Linked DNA regions of Oreochromis niloticus. The protein of the gene in region 1 purifies or fractionates together with the protein of each later gene. This does not show direct contact. Links are inferred from orthologs where the notes say so. Each region holds a gene or a part of one and is shown on either strand. Other genes may lie near its edges.

Region 1 (3,921 bases):
CACGACACTTGGGATAGGCTCCAGTCCACTCATGATTCTGAGGTGGATAAGCAGTTAAGAAAAGGGATGCAAGGATGGGTTTAGGCAAAGCAGCTCACTGGATAGTGTGTAGAAGCCAACAAATGCCACCCACTCAACAGAGGTAAACGCACTGGACTATGAGCTGTGCTATTTGTATTCTTATATGCACCTCTCTCTGTGAAGTCCTAGAAAAGGTCAGTTCTGTAACACCACACTGACTGAAGTGATTGGAAGAAAAGAGCCATGATTACATTTTCTAATGTTTTCCGGGGCTTTTGTTTCACTTTCTTTAAGTATAGCAACCTTTTTTAAACACATTTCTTAGCTTTCTGCATTTTCTGTTGCAGTATCAACAGTGCTCACTAAAAACTAGCACACAATACATGTATTATGCATATAAGCAAAAAGCATGTGTAGCAGGTAAACTAAAATATATAAGGCAGCACAATGAAATGGCACAATGTGATTAATTTTTTTTATTATCCAATAACACACTTTTAAAAACTGCAGAAGCATGTGACTGACAACTGACTTCCCTCTACCTGCACCTGACTCTCTTCAAAGCAGGAGAAGCACTGACGTTACTAACGTCAATTAGTAATCTGGGTCACACAAATGGGAGAGAAATTAAGCTGAGGCATGTGGTCAAGTAATAAACTTTCTCACTTGCTGTAATCGAGAGAATAAATATTAAAAGCATTGTCTTGCTAGCATAAACAGCCTCTTTTTGATGATTCTCACTCCATCGCAAAGTATCTACATACAACTAAACTGTTAACCACAGGAGGTTTAAACAGCCAGAATAATAATGTGAGGGTCCCACACCTGCCATTGAAACAACTCTGGCAACAACTCATGCCAGGAACTGGCTCTTTGAGGTTTTCAGCAAGTTTCATTAGCTCTTCTGTTAGCAACAATTTGCTGCGCATGTGCTTCATGGAGCCTTGGGCACCTACAACTCATCATCTGTTTACCAGTTGTCGGCCCTTTAATTTGTCACATCATCACTGGTCAGATCATCCATTACCATGGGCTGAGCTTCCACTGCTATGCTGATGATACACAGTTATCATCAGCATAGCAGTCACTTCCCTCCTCTGTGCCTTGTAAACTGACTAAAAAGACATCAGAATTTGAATGTCAGCAAACTGAAGTCTTGGTTGTGGTTCCCAATTCAAAGCTCCCGAAGAGGGAGGTCCTCTGGAGGTCAACATCATCAAATCTATCTCTAAATCTGCCTTCAAGAACACATGTCCAGACTAAAACCTTTATTCTCAAACTCTGCAGCTGGAACCCTCACTCATTCCTTATCACCTCCTACTTTAACTACGCCAATGATGTTCTGTTTTGGTCGACCATCCCTAATCTTATACCTCCACCAGAGACTGCCACTTCTCTTCGTGCCCTTGCTCATACAAATCACTGCAAACTGACAACACAGAAAAGTTCTAATATGTTTTATGGTGACCCCAGCACTAAAATGGCCCATTCTAGCAACAAAATAGGTCACACGTGTTGATAACTTTTTAAACTTGTGAGATGACCCGAGTGGTCCAGGTCTTCGTCAAGTGACAGGAACCCAGATTATTTGTTACACTCAGACTCACCTGAGAGCTCCAGTGGCAGTCTCTCTGACAGCCAGGCTCCGGTCCAGCAACATGGGACCCAGGCGCCTAACAGCATCCCTCTGGAGGAAACCCGGAATGGTCTGACTCTGCTGCACCACCCGAGAAATACTGGCACATGCAAACTCTCGCACATCAGCGCTGGGGCTCTGCAACTATAGGAAACGTGTTTAGCACGTTAGCACGTGACACCAGCTGTTCAAAATCTGAAGTACTGTGTGTTCATTCAACTATCACCAGGTGACCTTTTGTAACACGAAATATAAAATCAATAAACTGATCGCTATACGTAAGGCCATTTAAATCACAGAATATAAAGTGGGGCGCAATAATCTTTAAAGAAAATGCTAGAAATTGCAAAAATAGGAGCTTTGAAACGTTCAAAGTTAGAGACATTCATGTAAGAAGAAGCAGTGTATGTCCCTACTTTCTCAAGCAACTCCGCAGCTGGACAGCTATCATCACCATGCTCTTCCTCCTCGCCGTCTCCTTCCTTCACCGCAGTCACCGGCAGCCCGACCGAGTTGAACTGGGGACGTTTAAACTTATTGGTTTTACTTTTACCCATTTCACGTGATTATTAAAGTGCGAGTTGCGCGTATAACGCGGTGTTTACTCCCTCCTCTTTTCTCTGACACTGGGGTTGTTGAGGATCAAACACACGCTCCGGCTTCTGCCTTGTTGGAGGCCATGTGGAAGACTGTTCCCTGCCGTAAAGTGTTGGTTGCTAAGAGAAAGCACGACACTGTCGCAAAAGCGCACGGACTACGCATGTAACAAACTGCATAGGAAGGATGGGAGAAGGCAACAAGAAATAAAGAGACAGCTCTGATATTCCCACGTCTTATGAATTTATTTATTAGGCAAATAACCTTTAAAATAGAAATATTTTAGATAAAATACATGCTCAACAGAAACAGAAATATACCCTCACTCTGAATGTGTAAAATATATCAAAGGTTACATGAGCAAATCAGCAGCTTCAATGATGACAACACAGCAACACTGTTAAAAAAAAAAGAAAAGAAAAGAAAAGAAAAGGGCCCTCTCAGTTCATTTCTTTGCTGGAAATGCATTTCCCATCATGCTTCATCTAAGAGCATCCAAAGGAATTAAAGACAAGAAGGCAATCAACAAAGATGAGGCCTGACAGAACCCAGGAGCGTGTGGTCACTGGATGTTTGGTCGTGGTTTCAGAATAAGTTTCCCCGTCTGCAAAAAGACAAGGAAAAATTAAAAAAAACCCCAAAACTTAAATTTTAGTAAAATTGTAAAAAAAATAAAAATCACCATGTTGACTCACATCATCACAGGACATGTTGTATTCTGCTAAAACTGTGCGGCAGCGAGCAGCAATACTGCAGGGGTAACGGTTAAAGACAATAACCAGGAATGAAAATAGGAATGAATCCACTATGTGATGTTCCTAAACCTGACAAAACTTGGCTTTGGATATCTGCTACTGATACGGTGTACAAGAAAAGAAACTATTGAGAGATCAATAAACTCAATTCTTTACTGTGACAAAGATAATGGGATTTCAGTCAAACAGGCTGTTTAGGAAGGTGAATGAAGTGACCTAGAGGTATCTGCATGGAACCCCAAAAGAGCTGGTCAAATTCTCTAAATACTAAAGAAAGGTGCTTTCAGTGCTTTAATAACCTCCTAAACAAAATGTACACCAGACCACCCTTTATGAAACCAAAGTTCATTCACATCAAATAAAGTAATTAACATAGCTGACAAGTGCAGTGCAAATCCTGATTAACAGTGCATTTTCTATTTCATGACATAATCTCCTGATATGGTTTTGAGCCTTCAACAACAGGCTGTTAAACCCACATGTGGACTCTGACCACTACACTGCTTCTTATCAAGCTGTTGTCTTGTTTGAAGCCTGTTTACTTATAATAGGAAAGAAAGCTTTATAAATATAGACTATGGGCAGAACTAAGGCAGGAACTAGACTGAATCATCTCTCCAGTGGGAAGAGAAAATATGAGTTGACAGGATGGCCAATGTGGCAAACATTTCAAGTTATTTCATTTAATAAGATACTTATTTAAAACTAAAAGTAAGATTTTTCCCTCCAGATGTTCTCTTTTTAGATGTCCTGCACAAAACATAAGAAAACATGAGCAAAAGTATCTAAGACAAGCTTTCTGTTGTCCATCTTAGTTTCACCATGGCAGACCCATGCGGCAGCATCCACCATGACACTGTTCAGCTGCCTGATATGAGTATAATCAGACTGTCTGAGGATCCATGATCTTAT
Region 2 (3,921 bases), on another chromosome or scaffold:
GTTTGAAAGGGAACACCACTGCAACAAAGTCTGTACACTAAAAAGCACTAGCAGGTGTATTTTTGAGGTGTAATTTCTGGCTCAGCACACTCGCACCTCATATACACCTGATATAAGCATGTGGTCTGTATTTGATATCTTTATTTGTATAAATTAAAACCAATACATGGGACTACGCATATCCAGATGGTATTAGATTAATTATTACTCACATCTCTTTACTTTATCTCAACATGCAGATTAGTTAAACGAGGCTGGCTAGTTGGGAACTGGCTGATAACATTGTGATAGAAGGTGCTGCTGGAACAGTGGTGGCCTTAAAATGCATGTTCTCTGTGCTGATAAGTTATCCAGATACAAACTGGGTGTGAATACCAGAAGTTAAAGACATCGCAGTAGTTCCCCTTGCAACCACTGCCATAAAAAAAGAAACAAAAAAGGGCATATGAAGGATTATCGCTCCAAAACCCTCCCCACCTCATTCTCTCACCTCTCGGATAGATGCTATCGTGTTCTCCGGTGCATCGTGCCCGCCGCCCCGGTGAGCGACCACCGACACCTTGCCGGTGCCCGCCGTGCCCTTGACTGGGTGGAGCACCTTCTGGGTTCGGCTGGATGGTACCTGTGGGAAGCGGAACATGGCTAGAAAGAGGTAGAGAGAGGCGGTGAGGACCACTGTCCACACCGGGCTTCGGGTCCCCAGCAGGATCCCCACGAAGATAAGGGAGTACAGGGTCGCTTCATCTCCCAGCTGGACCATCGTTGTCCTGTCTTTGTCTTCTCCACCTGTCCCACAGCAGAAAATAGCACCTGGCAGGAAATGTTCCGCATTTAAGGTGTGGGACGTTTACTGTCCTAATTTTAGTTTCTTTAAACGACCTAAATGAGATAAGAACATGTTTTGCCCGGCGATAAAACACTCATTACCAAGAGACAGTCCCCTGTCCGCGACTTAAAGGGAACTGCTGATTTACGCTTCCCGTTCCGCATTTAAGCTAACACCCCCAAAATGAATTAGATTTATTCAAAATTATAATAAAATTGTAATTATTATTCTCACTGAGCTGTTACAGAGCGATCATTGACAGCTTTCTCACAGGATGTCTCGGAACAAAAAAAAGAAATAATTAAACATACATTAACATAAAAACGAGACGTTAAAGGTGAGCACATCCGGGTCACACCGCATAACTGCTTCCTGTTAGCGCTCGTTCAAGTCATGTCATTTCGTGATCCATCTTTCTTGTTTCTGCGTTTTTCTTTCATTTAGCTGGTCTCTGATCATGGTAAGCCTCGTTTTATATGCAAGCTCTTATCCAGCATTGACTGTTATTATCAGTAAGATTAATTTTTAGCCACACAAGGTCATTAGTGCTGTGGCAGGGCTGTGTGTTTTCTACAGTCATTGGTGACAGCTCAGTCAGGACATGTGCACCTTCAGGTTCTTTTATTCCACACAGCGGCTACACAACAGCTGCTGTACATGTACTGCAAGTGTTCGTCTGGGTATACCTCTTGTATTTTTTTAAGCAACTGCATAATATTATATTTTGTATATTACTGCAATAGCAACGTACAGTGCACAAAATAAGTGAAGTAGAGAGTACAGGAAGGCTGAGATGAGGGTCTGGGGTGATTTATGGCAGCAAGAGTGAAGGGGAAGGTTTGCAAGATGGTAGTGATGCTATGATGTATGGTTTGGACATGATGGCACTGGCAAAAAGATCGGAGGTGGAAGAGTTGTAAGAGCTTCATAGGGAGAGATCAGAATGGACAAAATTAGGAATGAGCGCATCAGAGGGAAAGGTCAGGTTCAACAGTTTAGAGGCAAAGTTAGAGAAGCAAAGCTGAGATGGTTTGGACATGTGCAGAGGAGGGATAATGGATATATTGGATAAAAGATGTTGAAGATGGAGTTGCCAGGCAGAAGCAAAAAAGAGGATATTTAGATATGACCGAGGATATACCAGGGTGAGGTGGAGGCAAATTATCTGCTGTGGTGACCTAAATGAGCCAAAAAAGTGCTTCCCTCATATTTTACCACCTGGCTTGATGAAGAGCTAAACCTGATCTTTTACAGTATTGGTTTCCAGATGGTATGCCTAGAGGCAAGTCCTCATTTGCTAATGTGGTAACAAGCAATCTATTTTCCTTCTGTGAGAAACTTTACCTACTGTCAAAGAGCTCAACCGTGTCTGTTAAACTAAATGGATGCAAGTTATATGCGAGTGGAGCTTATTTCCAGCCATAGAGCTGGAGCGGACGGGTTTGTGAACTGGTGTGCAGAGTACCACCTGCACAAAGTGGAGGATTCTATATCAGCTGGAGATGAGACCCCTATTACTATACATGTCCATGCCATTAGACGGGTTATGTGGTACAAATACTTACAGGTATACATTGATAATGCACTTGCTTAGAACACACATGTGGAAAATGTGTATGAGAATCCATCAATGTCTTCATTTTCTCCAGACTCCATTTATTTATTTATTTATTTATTTATTTATTTATTTATTAAATAAGGCCATTGTAGAGTTACATTATGCCATCAGTAGTTGTTTTGGAACAGGTCTTTATCTGATCCCCCACATGTGTTGTTCTCTGAGATTGTATTGATGAACCCTGGTAGGAAATACTGACAGAGAATAACATGTCATATTGAATTTATCTGTTTGATGTTATTTATTTTTCTACAGATCAGGTCGCTTCTTCGGTGCAGATTAACTCCCCACGTCCTGTCCTTCACCAGAGGATCAAGTCTGTTCGCAGCTCGAACACCTTACAGTTTGCAGCCTTGTTCACCAAGTCTCAGGCCAATTCAGCAGCGCCTACATGGACCTGTTATCCCTAAAATCACAGCCCTTGTTAATTACTCGGATGTGTCCACACAGAAGTACACTATGATTTACACCCTGCCATACATTAAGCTCCTTCGAGCTGTGTCCAGGCTCAAACTCCTCCAAACTGCAATAACTGTGGTCCTCTTGCCCCCGGTGTACGTCCTCTACTTCCAGGGAGCTGCCTCCGCCTTTCTTGTCGGCTACACGACAGGGATAGCTCTGTTTGCTGGTGTTATGCTGTATACTGCCAGTTACTTCTTCAGAAGGGTGGTGGGAATGATGTATCTGGATCCATCTCAGACCACGCTCAAAGTGTCCCACCTCACTTTCTGGGGAAAGCGCCATGATATGTACCTGCCAGTGTCAGATGTCATGACCATTGGAGACACAGGGGACTCCGTAAATGAGACCATACTGAAATTTAAGAGATACAGCAGTGCGGAGACTCTGTATTTCTCAACTCATTTTGGACGTGTGGTGGATGAACAGGCTTTTAAAAAAGTGTTTGGAAGTTTTTAAAATGATTATTTGTTTAAAAGAAAATGTGGAGTATTCTGAATAGTATTATCAAAATATAACATGTTAAGAGATGCATCTATTGTCCATGAACAATATTCTAAATGAAAACACATTATACAGCTTGCTGTTATATTTTATATCTAAGATATTTTAGCTGACATAGATCTGAATCATCCACAGTTGATAAATTACTGGTTTATTATTATTTTTCTTTTTTTATCTTAATTAAGGTTGAGAAGTAAGATTGCAGATTTAAAAAAAAAAAAAAAAAATCTGGACCCTAACCCTAACCCTGTGGTAGGTTAACAGTTGTCTACTAAATGGTGACTATGTATGCAGCTGAAATAAAAAAATCAAGTGAGATTGGCCTAACATTGTCCGAATATTCATGTTGCATCATTAGACCATGATAGGATAGCTCCACGGGTCACATGTCCTTCTTGCTGCAAGCTCCAAAGAAGTTGTCTCCTCCTGATATTGATTTTTTTTGTGTGTGTTAGGTTAAAGTGTAAACCTTAAAACTGTTATTATGTAAAATGCATTTTTCAACATTGTTTTT

What was found.
Region 2: the proteins of heatr3 (region 1) and tmem186 purify together in Homo sapiens (co-immunoprecipitation; 3 studies listed by BioGRID and IntAct, counting the BioPlex papers as one, with this or other methods). This does not show direct contact. The link is inferred for Oreochromis niloticus from reciprocal best matches to the Homo sapiens genes HEATR3 and TMEM186.

Annotation. Positions count from the first base shown.
Region 1 is NC_031965.2:31,698,861-31,702,781, forward strand, and holds the start of heatr3 (HEAT repeat-containing protein 3), read right to left. Parts: upstream 2,358-3,921; 5' UTR 2,215-2,357; coding exon 2,074-2,214; intron 1,802-2,073; coding exon 1,629-1,801; intron 1-1,628. Other genes in the region: cnep1r1 (nuclear envelope phosphatase-regulatory subunit 1), read right to left, coding at 2,817-2,858, 2,950-3,004. UniProt on the Homo sapiens protein: Plays a role in ribosome biogenesis and in nuclear import of the 60S ribosomal protein L5/large ribosomal subunit protein uL18 (RPL5). Required for proper erythrocyte maturation.
Region 2 is NC_031971.2:30,541,534-30,545,454, reverse strand, and holds the start of tmem186 (transmembrane protein 186), read left to right. Parts: upstream 1-1,211; 5' UTR 1,212-1,283; coding exon 1,284-1,286; intron 1,287-2,699; coding exon 2,700-3,362; 3' UTR 3,363-3,921. Other genes in the region: gde1 (glycerophosphodiester phosphodiesterase 1), read right to left, coding at 491-760. UniProt on the Homo sapiens protein: As part of the MCIA complex, required for efficient assembly of the mitochondrial complex I.